Canis lupus familiaris: one gene and its partners. The protein of the gene in region 3 interacts with the protein of the main gene of each other region in a pairwise test. Links are inferred from orthologs where the notes say so. Each region holds a gene or a part of one and is shown on either strand. Other genes may lie near its edges.

Evidence for each region.
Region 1: the proteins of THAP7 (region 3) and CCNDBP1 interact in binary tests that used the Homo sapiens proteins (3 or more experiments, as listed by UniProt). The two-hybrid records come from large-scale screens. The link is inferred for Canis lupus familiaris from reciprocal best matches to the Homo sapiens genes THAP7 and CCNDBP1.
Region 2: the proteins of THAP7 (region 3) and LURAP1 interact in a two-hybrid assay, tested with the Homo sapiens proteins (2 studies listed by BioGRID and IntAct). The two-hybrid records come from large-scale screens. The link is inferred for Canis lupus familiaris from reciprocal best matches to the Homo sapiens genes THAP7 and LURAP1.

The regions. Positions count from the first base shown.
Region 1 is NC_049251.1:10,346,531-10,350,275, forward strand, and holds the start of CCNDBP1 (cyclin-D1-binding protein 1), read left to right. Parts: upstream 1-1,131; 5' UTR 1,132-1,256; coding exon 1,257-1,365; intron 1,366-1,535; coding exon 1,536-1,595; intron 1,596-1,848; coding exon 1,849-1,928; intron 1,929-3,745. Other genes in the region: TMEM62 (transmembrane protein 62), read left to right, coding at 125-451. UniProt on the Homo sapiens protein: May negatively regulate cell cycle progression. May act at least in part via inhibition of the cyclin-D1/CDK4 complex, thereby preventing phosphorylation of RB1 and blocking E2F-dependent transcription.
Region 2 is NC_049236.1:14,251,544-14,255,188, reverse strand, and holds part of LURAP1 (leucine rich adaptor protein 1), read left to right. Parts: intron 1-807; coding exon 808-1,329; 3' UTR 1,330-3,645. UniProt on the Homo sapiens protein: Acts as an activator of the canonical NF-kappa-B pathway and drive the production of pro-inflammatory cytokines. Promotes the antigen (Ag)-presenting and priming function of dendritic cells via the canonical NF-kappa-B pathway.
Region 3 is NC_049247.1:30,665,614-30,669,358, forward strand, and holds THAP7 (THAP domain-containing protein 7), read left to right. Parts: upstream 1-1,055; 5' UTR 1,056-1,211; coding exon 1,212-1,387; intron 1,388-1,628; coding exon 1,629-1,784; intron 1,785-2,277; coding exon 2,278-2,418; intron 2,419-2,615; coding exon 2,616-3,180; 3' UTR 3,181-3,309; downstream 3,310-3,745. UniProt on the Homo sapiens protein: Chromatin-associated, histone tail-binding protein that represses transcription via recruitment of HDAC3 and nuclear hormone receptor corepressors.

The DNA of each region.
Region 1 (3,745 bases), on a different chromosome or scaffold from region 3:
TCAAAGAGTTAACCCCCGAGACAGAGCAGCATATTTTTAGGAGCCGCCAATAATATGTTAATGAGACCTGACCCTCTAAAGTCTTACTAATAAGCTAATGGTTCTGTTCTGCTTCTCTTTCCAGCTGGTATTTTTTAACATACCCTTGATGGCTTACCTGTGTTGGAGCTTGCTGCAGCGGTGCTGTGGTCACAACTTCCGGTCTCATCTCCATCAAGGAAAATACTTGAAAATTATACCTGTTCACCTACTTATGTTACTGCTATACATCTGGCAGATTTATTCCTGCTACTTTCTTCATATGACATATGGCACTTTAGCTTTCTTCTTCTCCCCTTTGCGGACCTGGTTGACACTGTTGACACCTGTTATCATTCATAGTGTGTGGACTCTGAACTCTACTGAGCTTGGAACCTTTGTGGCACAGTTAAAAAGCCACCTGAGCTCCTGAAGGCCTTGTCTCACCATCCACCTCTTTGGCCCAGGCCTCTGCCCCAGCAGCAGGTGGAAGGCCAGTGATGGTGGGCAAGCTTCAGGGAGCTGCTGCACCCTGGACACCTGGGAGTTGAGTGGGATTACCCACTACTGATTCCTACAGAATGGACTGCAGAAAAATCTCTAAATAATGCCATGATTCCTTCCTTCTCCAAGAAGGCAAAGGATTGATTTACTTTTGTTCAGAGAAAGTCCTAATCAGGAGATCCACAGGTGAGGGACTGGGTGTGTGTATGGGAGTATTTTTTATGGTTACCTCGTGTAAAGTACCTAGCACAGTATGTGGAATTCAGCAGCCCACAAGGGTGCCACGTTGGGGGCAGGGAAGCTTTGTGAACTTGGGCCCTACCTTGACTACCCTTGAGATAATTAGCTCAGGTCTACTTTTCCCTCAGGGTACTGGGTTCTCTGCTTCTTTAGGTGGGGTGCTTTCAGCTAATCAAATAAATGAATGATGAATAAGAACTCTGACTGGGCCTTGCATCTGTGGGCGGGAGGAGGCGAGGCCGGGACCCTCGGGGGCGGGGCCAGGCTTCGGGAGTCGGAGGGGGCGTGGCCGGAACCCCCAGCGACGAAGAGAGGCGTGGCCCGGCCTCGGACGCTGAGAACGGGCGTGGCTGGGGCCCCGGGGCGGGGCCGGGCGAGTTGTTGCCGGAAACGAACCCGGACCTGAGGCTGCCGGAAGCGGAGCGCCCGCTGCCCTGCGGCCCTGGCAGCCGCCTCGGCCGCTCTCGTCCGGAGGTTCCAGGCGATCTCCTGAGATGGCGAGCACAGCCGCACCTACAGCCGCAGTCCCCACCCTAGATCCGCCTTTGGAGCAGATCCGGCGCTTGGCAGTGGAGCTGCGGTTGCTCCTGCCTGGCGTGCGGGGTGAGCTGACGCCTTGGGGGCTGGTGACGGCAGGGGCGGGCTCGGCTAGGGAAGAGGCCGGCGGGGGCGCCGGCGGGGGCGGGGGCGGGGGCGGGGCCGGGCCGGGGTGGCTCCGCTTACCTGTGCTCTTCCTTTTGCCACCCCCGGTCCACATGCTACACCGGCTACAGTTGGCGAAGCCCGGGAGACCACCAAGGAGTTTAATGCTGAGACGTTTTGGAGGAGACTCAGTGAGTGCCTGTCCTGTTGGGGACTTCTGTTTCTCATCCCTTCCAGGGTACTGACGACCCCTTTCCCTCCCGCTTTCCCCCCCTCCCCTCCCCCCGCCGCATCCTCTCAGTCCTTTGCACTTCGGAGGTTGGGATATGAAACACTGATCCGGGGAGGTGTTTTTGAGGCTGACATCTCCAAAGTCCATGCAGCAGCTGCAGGCTTCTCCTTTTGGCGCTGACAACACGGCCCCTCCCCTCTGTCATCCCTCAGACCGGGCAGCAGAGAACGTGTCGAGGGAAGCCACGACCCTGACTGAAGTCTTCTCTCGAGTTCCACTGCCCTCTCCGCAGGTGGGCTTTACTTTCCTGGAATCCTTGTGCTTGCCTCGTTGTTCATTAGGGATCCAGTCGTTTTCTTTCCACCCTTTACACTGAAGCCAGGGGGTTAATTTTCCACACCTGTCAAGTAAGATTGCGGTTCTCACCTCGCAGGGGTGCGAGGTTGCCAAGGGCAGTCAGCCCCTGGCATGCCGTGCTCAGGTCATTCAAATAGGTATTGGTTCAATCTGCAGTTCATCCTGGTTATTTCCTTTCTGATAAATATTTTTTTTAACACTCGCTATTTGCTAAGTGTTTTCACATACGTAATTCCCACCTGACAGATGAGTAAGCGGGCTTAGAGGCTCAGGTTAAGGTAAATAAGAGTGGAACTAGCATTTAAATTAGGGCCCATGATGTCTAAACGACACCTTTTCTGTTATGCTACATAATATCCTTTTTGTATTGAATTGCTTTTTATATTTAATCAGTAACATATATATACAATATAAAATTCAGAAGATGTCAAAGTTAAGTGTGCTAAAAAATTTATATTTCTCCTCCCCAGTTACTTTTGTATTATTCCATATATATTCGATGCACATACACACTCATGTGTATATGCCCGCTTCTTTTTTACACAAATGATAGGATACTATAAACTATAAACACTTTTCTGGACCTTCCTTTAAAAAACAATTAACAACATGGCTTGCACATTGATTCTTAGCAGCACATATGAAGTTGCTCAGTTCTTTGTAATGCTGCATGGTATTCAATAGAGTGTATATAACTATAATTTGTTTAATGATACTTTATGTGGACATTAAAGCTCTTTCCAACTTGTAACTATTATAAACAGTGCTGTGTAAATTGCCTAAGACAATCTTTGTATATATCAGAAGTGGAATTGATGGAACAAGAATTTATGCATTTTTATTTTTATTTATTTTTAAAGATTTTATTGATTTATTTGAGAGAGAGCACAAGTGGTGGGGAGGGGCAGAGGGAGAGGGAGAAGCAGACTCCCCACTGAGCAGGGAGCCCCATTCTGGCCCAGATCCCAGGACCCCGAGATCATGACCCTAGTTGAAGGCAGATGCTTAACCAACTGAGCCACCCAGTCACCCTGAATTTATGCATTTTTAAATAACCAGTTATTATAAAATTGATGAAAATAAACATGTTGGCTATGACTATGCTTTATGCTATTTTTCCAGAACTAGGTATACTTAATTTGAGAGTAAGATTATTTTAAAAATGGCATATTCATTGCCTTATTTGGTTTTAATAATCAGTGGTTTGATTCTTTTTTCAATCTATATATCCAGATGTTTTAAAATGGAAAAAATATTCTTTTGCTGCACCTACAATAAGCTCTCCCTACCCCCTCCCCCCGCATAGGTCCCAGAGAACTGTGATAAGAAAATAAGAAATGAATTGTTAGAGAGCATTTTAAAAGCTTTGCTTAAGAAAGTCAATATTTATTTCAAAAGGAGTAATATTACCTTATTTTTATCTGTTGATCCTTTCTTTCAAATATACTTAGGACTTGTTGCTAAAATTCACAGCTAGTAGGACACTATGAGGAGCAGCATAGAATTATTTTTCTGTACATGCTCAGGACAGTGGGTTCACTCATAGGTGAAAAGTTTTAGTTTTATTTGAGTTATATGTATTTGAATCCCATTTGCTTTCTTAGGATCTTAGCATGTTAGTCTACTGAAAAATGGTTTGTTTTGTTTGTTTGTTTGTTTTAATGTTTTTGGATGTTGAAACAAAGTTACATTGTCATAAACAGTTTTAAGCAGTTACTCTCAATCACTGTACTTATCTTCCATCCTAGACTG
Region 2 (3,645 bases), on a different chromosome or scaffold from region 3:
AAGGCCTGAATCCCCAGCCAATAGGATTCTGACCCTTTGAACAACAGCTGCCAACACCCTGAAGGGTCTGGGGAACCAGGTTAGCTTCCTCTTTCTTCCATAGCTCTTGCCTCCCTTTGGCCCAGTCCACTTCCTAATCAGCACCAGGCAACACAGCCTATTAGGCTGTTCTTCGAATCTGGACTGTTTCAGTAGTTAATACCCTATCTATGAAGTTCAAAGCTCAGTAGGATCAGATTTCAATACTAAACATTTACTGAGACCTTACTCTGTGTCAAGCCCGATGTTGCGTACTTAATAAACAGCATCTCAGACTTCTCGCGGCCATCCTGTAGATGAGTGAGTTAGCCTTGTTTTACAAACAAGGAAACCAAGGCTCAGAGAATGTAAGAAAGTTGTCCACAATCATATAGCTAATCAGTGGTAGAACTGAGATTCTTTTTAAAGATTTTATTTCATTCTTTTAATTTATTTATTTGAGAAAGAGAGCACAAGCAGGGGGAGCAGCAGAGGGAGAGGGAGAAGCAGGCTCCGCGGGGCTTGATCCCAGGACCCCGAGATCATGGCCTTCACCTCGGGTCTTGATTGATCTTAACCGATTGAGCCACCCAGGCGCCCCCAGAACTGAGATATTTAACAATAATCTGTCTGCTTCTAAAGCCCACACTCTAAAACCCACCATGCTTCTATTCCCAGGCTTCTTGAAATTGAGGCGTGGTTGGCTGAGCTACAAAATGGGGCCTCTGGAAAGATTTGGGAAACCCATGTCTCAGAACCTCGGACTAATTCCTTCTCCCACTCCCCCAGGTTTACCTGCGAGCCATCGATGTGAAGATCCTGCAGCAGCTGTTGAGCTTGAATGAGGGCATCGAGGCTGTGCGCTGGCTGTTGGAGGAGAGGGGGACACTGACCAGCCACTGCAGCAGCCTCACCAGCAGCCAGTATAGCCTGACAGGCGGGAGCCCAGGCCACTCAAGGCGAGGCAGCTGGGACAGCCTGCCAGACACTAGCTCCATGGACCGGCTGGACAGTCTCTCCATTGGCAGCTTCCTAGACACGGTGGCCCCCAGCGAGCTGGATGAACAGGGCCCCCCTGGTGCTCCCCGCCCTGAGACGGACTGGGCAAAGGTTATACCCAGTGGGGACAGGGCCAGGACTGAGGTGGACCCGACAGCCAGCAGACTAGGGAGCTTGAGGGCTGTATGGAAGCCCCCAGGGGAGGGGCTCCATGGTGGACCTCCTGAGCCCCTAGAGGATGAAGGTGCCAAACTGGGCTTTGAGGCCCACTGGTACTGGGGGCAGTGCCAGGATGACGTGACCTTCTTATAATAACTTTCCCACCCTTTTGTATTCCTGTGGCTCTTTTATCGCTAGGCCCTGGTCTCCCTAGAAGTTTATTCTCCCTCATTCTGGGGCTAGGAAGAGGCTACATTGAAATCAGTTACCATGGAAACTGGTCTTACCATCCTTTTGGTCCCTGAGGAGGCTGTCCTTTATCCCTCCATTATTGGGACCCTAGAGCTATTTCCACAGATACATTGACTCTAGAGGCTTGGCCCGTGGCTCCTGGTGTGATAGTATCTCTTCCCGTGCCCCTGCAACTAGGTCAGGATTTGAGGGATTTAGGAACCCTAGGAGATCGCTGAAGAAGAGATGGGGGTGCAATGACTTCACCCAACATCTTGGAGCCTTGGCCCCCCTCTTGGCCAAGATGGAGATTGTGGAGGGACATGGACATTCAGGGCCAACCCTCCATGGATTGGCCCTCCCAGAAGCCTTTGGGGTTGGTAGAACCACCCCTTCCTGTCTGGTGAGTGATGTCACTTCCTGCCAAGATGGGTTAGCCTCTCTTTGGTACGGGTCCTTAGGGGTCAGTATGCAGGTGGCTGAGCCCCTGCTGCTAAGTGAGACCATACCATTTATTCTCTATACCATTATTTCTTGCAAGTGGGGACATTCCCCCCTCCTGGGAGGAAAGCTGCTCACTGCCAGGGATTTGTGCTTCTTTTCAGAAAGATTCTTACTTTTTAAATGGAATGTTCTCATTTTAGTCCAGAGGGTCTCACTTCCTCTGTGGCCACATTCCTGTCTGATGCCAGTAGTCCTATATCTGTGCGTTTAGGAAGGGAAATGCCGGGGCCTCTACCCACAGCTCTCACAAGTTTGTATGGCCTGCCCTATTTGGTCCCCTGTCTTACCCTGTCCCTGGCTTGCCCCCCTTCTTGTATTCTGGCTCCAAATCTGTCTGCCAGGAGGTTCAGCTTTTGTGTCTCCACACCTTCTCGGTTTCCACTTCCACTTCGGGGCCTCAGGCCTTTTATATGCAGATGAGTTTCCCCATTTCTCCCCCCCAAACACCTTCTTTCCCCATTGCTGATGGAAATCTGAGGGAGGAGAAGCTTGAAGTCTCTGGGCTCTGGGGGGGGTGTATCATAATTTCTAAAGTGGGGAGGTGTCTTCTCTGATCCCATGATTTCCCTTCCCCCATCCTGCCCGGGACCTTCCAGCATAGGGTCACAAGGATGCCTGCCAGAGGCTGAGACACAAGAACTCCCCTTGTCTGGGTTACAATGGATGGTGGGGGGTGGGGGGTGGCAGGGAAAGACAGAGGCCCTTTGGTCCTAGGGCCCACATCCTGGGAGGGGGAGAGATGGTGAAGGGGGGAAGCCTACTTTCCTTCCTCCCTTAGAGCAAGCCCTAGATGCCTGGGACCTGAGGAGAGGGCAGGAGACCGGTTCTGGGCCTGGGTCCTTGGACCCTAGGGAATTACAACGAAGAAAGAATTCACAGAAGCTGCCAACCTGGAGCCCAAGGAGGGGACAGATTGGGCGGCAGGGACAGCGGTGGTGAGAGCAGGGGCTGTGACTGATGTCAGAGAATGAATTATTGGCGATTAACCCTTGGAACCCCAGCTAACTGCCCCTATTTTGGTCCTTGTCTTTCCTGGGGCCTGAGACTAATTATAGGAAGGCAAAAAAGAGAAAAGGATGTCAGGTGATCCTTACCTAGTTGTTGTGCCGTCTTGTGTGGAGGTGTCTTCCTCCAATCCTAAAATAACCCCTGCAGTTTCTTTACTTTTCTTTCTCTGCTGGGGAAGGGAAGGAAGCCAAGTTCATCTCCACTTCCCCTAAATTCCTCAGGTTTTGTTCTGCAAGCACTGCGCCCGGTCGTTTGGCGGCAATACATTCAGTCTGTAGCTCTCTCCTAAAGACTCTCTCCTATCTCCTCAAGGTGATGGAACTCTCTAAAGCATATTCTTAGCCCCTCCTCCTTTGCCACCTGCCAGCCCTCTCTGTGCCACTTCTCCTGGACTTGGGGCACCTGCCGCCCCCTCAGGCTGGGAATTCAGATACCCCTTTCCAGTGCCTACTCTGTTGCCATTTTGTAATGTACTCTTGGGTAAACTACCTTTTCATTTCAAAGCCTTGTATTCCTTTTTGAAGTGCAGTGTACTCCTTTGGGTAGGCTACACACTTCTGAGCTGAAGAGGTTGCGCACCCTCTTGTGGCCATTATGTACCATTGCCGGGGTAACTGCACAGAAGCCCTAAGTTCAAGGAGACAGACCAGCCCCTTTGTGCACAGACAGGTAGAGAGACAGGCCTGAAGAGGGCCGAGACTTGTCCAGTGTCACCATTGTAGATCT
Region 3 (3,745 bases):
CCTAGAAGAAGGCTTCAAGTCATGGCTGAGGGAATTAGGAAAAATACTTTGGTTCTTAAATCTTTCACTCATTCTTGATGTTCCTTTGGAGAATGGAATTGTAACCCAGTTTGTTTTTCCAAATCGTGGAATGGCCACTTTGACTCAGTCTTGTGTGTCCAGGGAGGCAGTCCTGCCCCAGTGCAAACTCATTTACTGAGGCTCCGTTTCTAGCAAGGTCTTTGTTTTGGGGGGCTTTGCTTTAATTTTTTTTTTTTTTTTTAAGAGAGCAAGGGAGTATGAGCAGGGGGGAGGAGCAAAGGAGTCCAAACTCCTGCCAGACCCTAGGACCCCAAGGTCATGACCTGAGTTGAAGGCAGATGGCTTAACTGAGCCACCCACGTGCCGTTGTTTGTTTTTTTTTTTTTCGTTTGTTTTTTTAAAAGATTTATTCATTTTCATTTAGACCCAAGTACAAACAGGAGGGGCAGAGGAAGGCTGACGGAGACTCCCAAGCCAAATGCATTGGCCCAGGGGTTCCACCTAAGGACCCTGAGGTCATGACCTGAGCTGAGACCAAGAGCAGGATGCTCGACTGGTTGGGCCACCCATGTGCCCCTAGGCACTAATTGAGCGGCTTCTCGGCCAGAAGGAATTACAATCGGGCCTTCTGCCCATTACATTTTTCCGGAGTGTGGGGAGTGGCCACCGCCCGCCCACCCCATTGCCGGCACCTCTCCCGGAGTAGCTGCGGGTCCTGGACTCTGTCAGGTCATTTTGATTCGCATCTTGGCCCCCTTTTCTTCTCGCTGGAGCTCCTTTCTTGCAGTCCGGCCAGAGTGGGTCCCGGGCGAATCCTTGGATGCCGAGGTGTTCCCAAAACACAAAGAGGGACCACGTGCGGGACGGCGCACCCCCGGCGGCGAGCTGAGGCGCCCGCCGCTTCCGGGGCCAGCCCCGCCCCTCGGCGGCGCGCCGCGCTCTTCCGAGTCTCTATGGTACCAACTTCCCCCGCGCGCCACTCCTCGCGAGACTTCGGCGGCGCAGCAATGGCGAGATCGTGAGTGCCGCTGACGGGAGTCAGGAGAACGGGCTGGGACGGGGCTCGGGCAAGATCGGGCCGGGGGAGATCCGGCAGGCCTGGGCCGCCTGGCGCGGAGCGGCGGCTGGGGGCGCGAGGCCCCTCTGGGCCTGGACAGCCGCCCACGACCAAGCTCCCGCCTCTTTCCCAGATGCCGCGTCACTGCTCCGCCGCCGGCTGCTGCACACGGGACACGCGCGAGACGCGCAACCGCGGCATCTCTTTCCACAGGTCAGCGCGCGTGCGCATGCGCCCGTTTTACCCTCTTCGCGGAGCCACGATTGCGCACGCGCCTTCCTCTGTTTGGCGCGAGGCTTGTATTTGTAGGTGGGAAGGGGTGACGGGGGCGGTGCCGGTAGGACCGGCTCTAGACGGAAAGGTGGCGCGGGCGGCCCGCCGGCCTGGGGCCTCTGCCCTCGGGCCCTTACCTGCCGGGTGATCCCCAGGAAGTTGCTCTCCTTGAGGCCTGTTTCCTGGCCTGGGCCTGGCAGGTGGCAGCGGGTGCCCGGCCAGCCCTCGCTGCCCGGAGCGCGGGCACCCTGGTGCTCACTGGTTTGTGGCTCCGCAGACTTCCCAAGAAGGACAACCCGAGGCGAGGCTTGTGGCTGGCCAACTGCCAGCGGCTGGACCCTAGCGGCCAGGGCCTGTGGGACCCGGCTTCCGAGTACATCTACTTCTGCTCCAAACACTTCGAGGAGAACTGCTTTGAGCTGGTGGGCATCAGGTGAGCTCCTCGGCGGCCACGGCCGGGCAGGGTTTGAGGAGCTGGCCGCTGGGGGCGGCTGCAGGGCCAGGAGAGGAGGCTCCTGAGTCACTGGCTGGGGGACAGCGTGGCTGCCTCTCCCCAGCCTCGTATCTCAGGGACCGCGAGACCCATCCCCTCGGGATGACTGTGCCACTGGCAGAAAAACACGAGCTTTCTCAGAGGCCGTTCCTTGCAGCCCAAGTCCTGCCAGCAAGTCCGTAACAAAATCATTCTTTTTGGCTGGTCAGCCTAGTTCTTAACTGTGAGGAGTCCCGCAGGGAAGAGATTGGTGTAACTGCCTACCTTGGCATTCCTTTAGCTACGTGCTTGCAACATGCCTACCCACCTCCCACAGCGCTAGCATGGGAAAGCCTGATTCGGGGTGCTGGAGGCGTGGTAGTTCTGTGCCCCGCAGGTGGCCCCGGGTGGCAGTATGTGTTGTCCATCTCATCCAGGCTGCTTTCCCCTACAGTGGGTATCACAGGCTGAAGGAGGGGGCGGTTCCCACGATATTTGAGTCTTTCTCCAAGCTACGCCGGACGACCAAGACCAAGGGACACAGTTACCCACCTGGCCCCCCCGACATCAGCCGGCTCCGGCGATGCAGGAAGCGGTATGTGTGCTGTGGGTGGAGGGTGCCTCACTCCCACATCAAGTCTGAAAGATTGGACTGTGTTTAAGGTGTCAGCAGTCTTGCTGAAGAGGGTTCAGAGCCAGCAGCATGGACTCTGATGGGCTGGTGACTTGGGATCTGGCAAGGCCTTGGCCCACCCCATTAGTCTCTCTCTCCCTCTCTCTCTCTCCTCTCAGATGCTCTGACAGCCGGGGGCCCACGACTCCATTTTCTCCACCTCCACCTGCTGATGTCACTTGCTTTCCTGTGGAAGAGGCATCAGCCCCTGCTGCTTTGCCTGCCTCCCCCACTGGGAGGTTGGAGGCTGGCCTCAGCAGCCCCTTCTCAGACCTCCTGGGGCCCCTGGGTGCCCAGGCAGATGAAGCAGGCTGCAGCGCCCAGCCCTCACCGGAGCGGGAGCCAGAGAGACAGCCGTCCCCCCTTGAGCCACGCCCCGTGTCACCCTCAGCCTATATGCTACGCCTCCCACCCCCAGCGGGCGCCTACATCCAGAATGAGCACAGCTACCAGGTGGGCAGCGCCCTGCTCTGGAAGCGGCGGGCTGAGGCCGCACTTGATGCTCTGGACAAGGCCCAGCGCCAGCTGCAGGCCTGCAAGCGGCGAGAGCAGCGCCTGCGGCTCCGGCTAAGCAAGCTGCAGCAGGAACGGGCACGGGAGAAGCGGGCGCAGGCTGATGCCCGCCAGACTCTGAAGGAGCACGTGCAGGACTTTGCCATGCAGCTGAGCAGCAGCATGGCGTGAGTGAAGGGCTGCTGGCCCCGGAGCTTCGGGCTCTTCCTCCCTCAGAATCCACCTGGAAAGGGACCCGGTCTGAGCTGTGTCCACCAGACCTGCCAGATGCCATAATAAAGTGGATTCTAGGAGGCCCTACTATCTGCTTCAGCTGGGGCTGGGGTCCCTCCCCTGGAGTCCGAGCTCTCCGCTGTGGAAAGCAGGAAGTCTGGCTCTTGCCCGCCCCCCCTCATGCAACTCCAGGCCCCACAGGTTCTCTGAAGGACAGGATGGTGTGAGCAGAGGCCAGGGCCGGCGCCAGGAACCTTCTCCTTGGTACCTGAAGCAGTCTAGGCTTAAGCGGTCTAGTCCCTTTGAAAATATTCGTGAAACCCAGGCCAGATGCAGTTTGCGGGGACACCTGTGTGGCTTCCATCTGCTGGCCCAGTCTGTCCAGCAGTCAGTAGGGTGCAGCACCTGAACACCAGCCACCCCCTCACCACCGGGCTGGCTCATCTAGAAAGCGGACAAAGATGGCAATTTCTGACCTGGTGCCATATGCTTGGCAAGTAGTAAGGGCCCACCCAGAAATGAC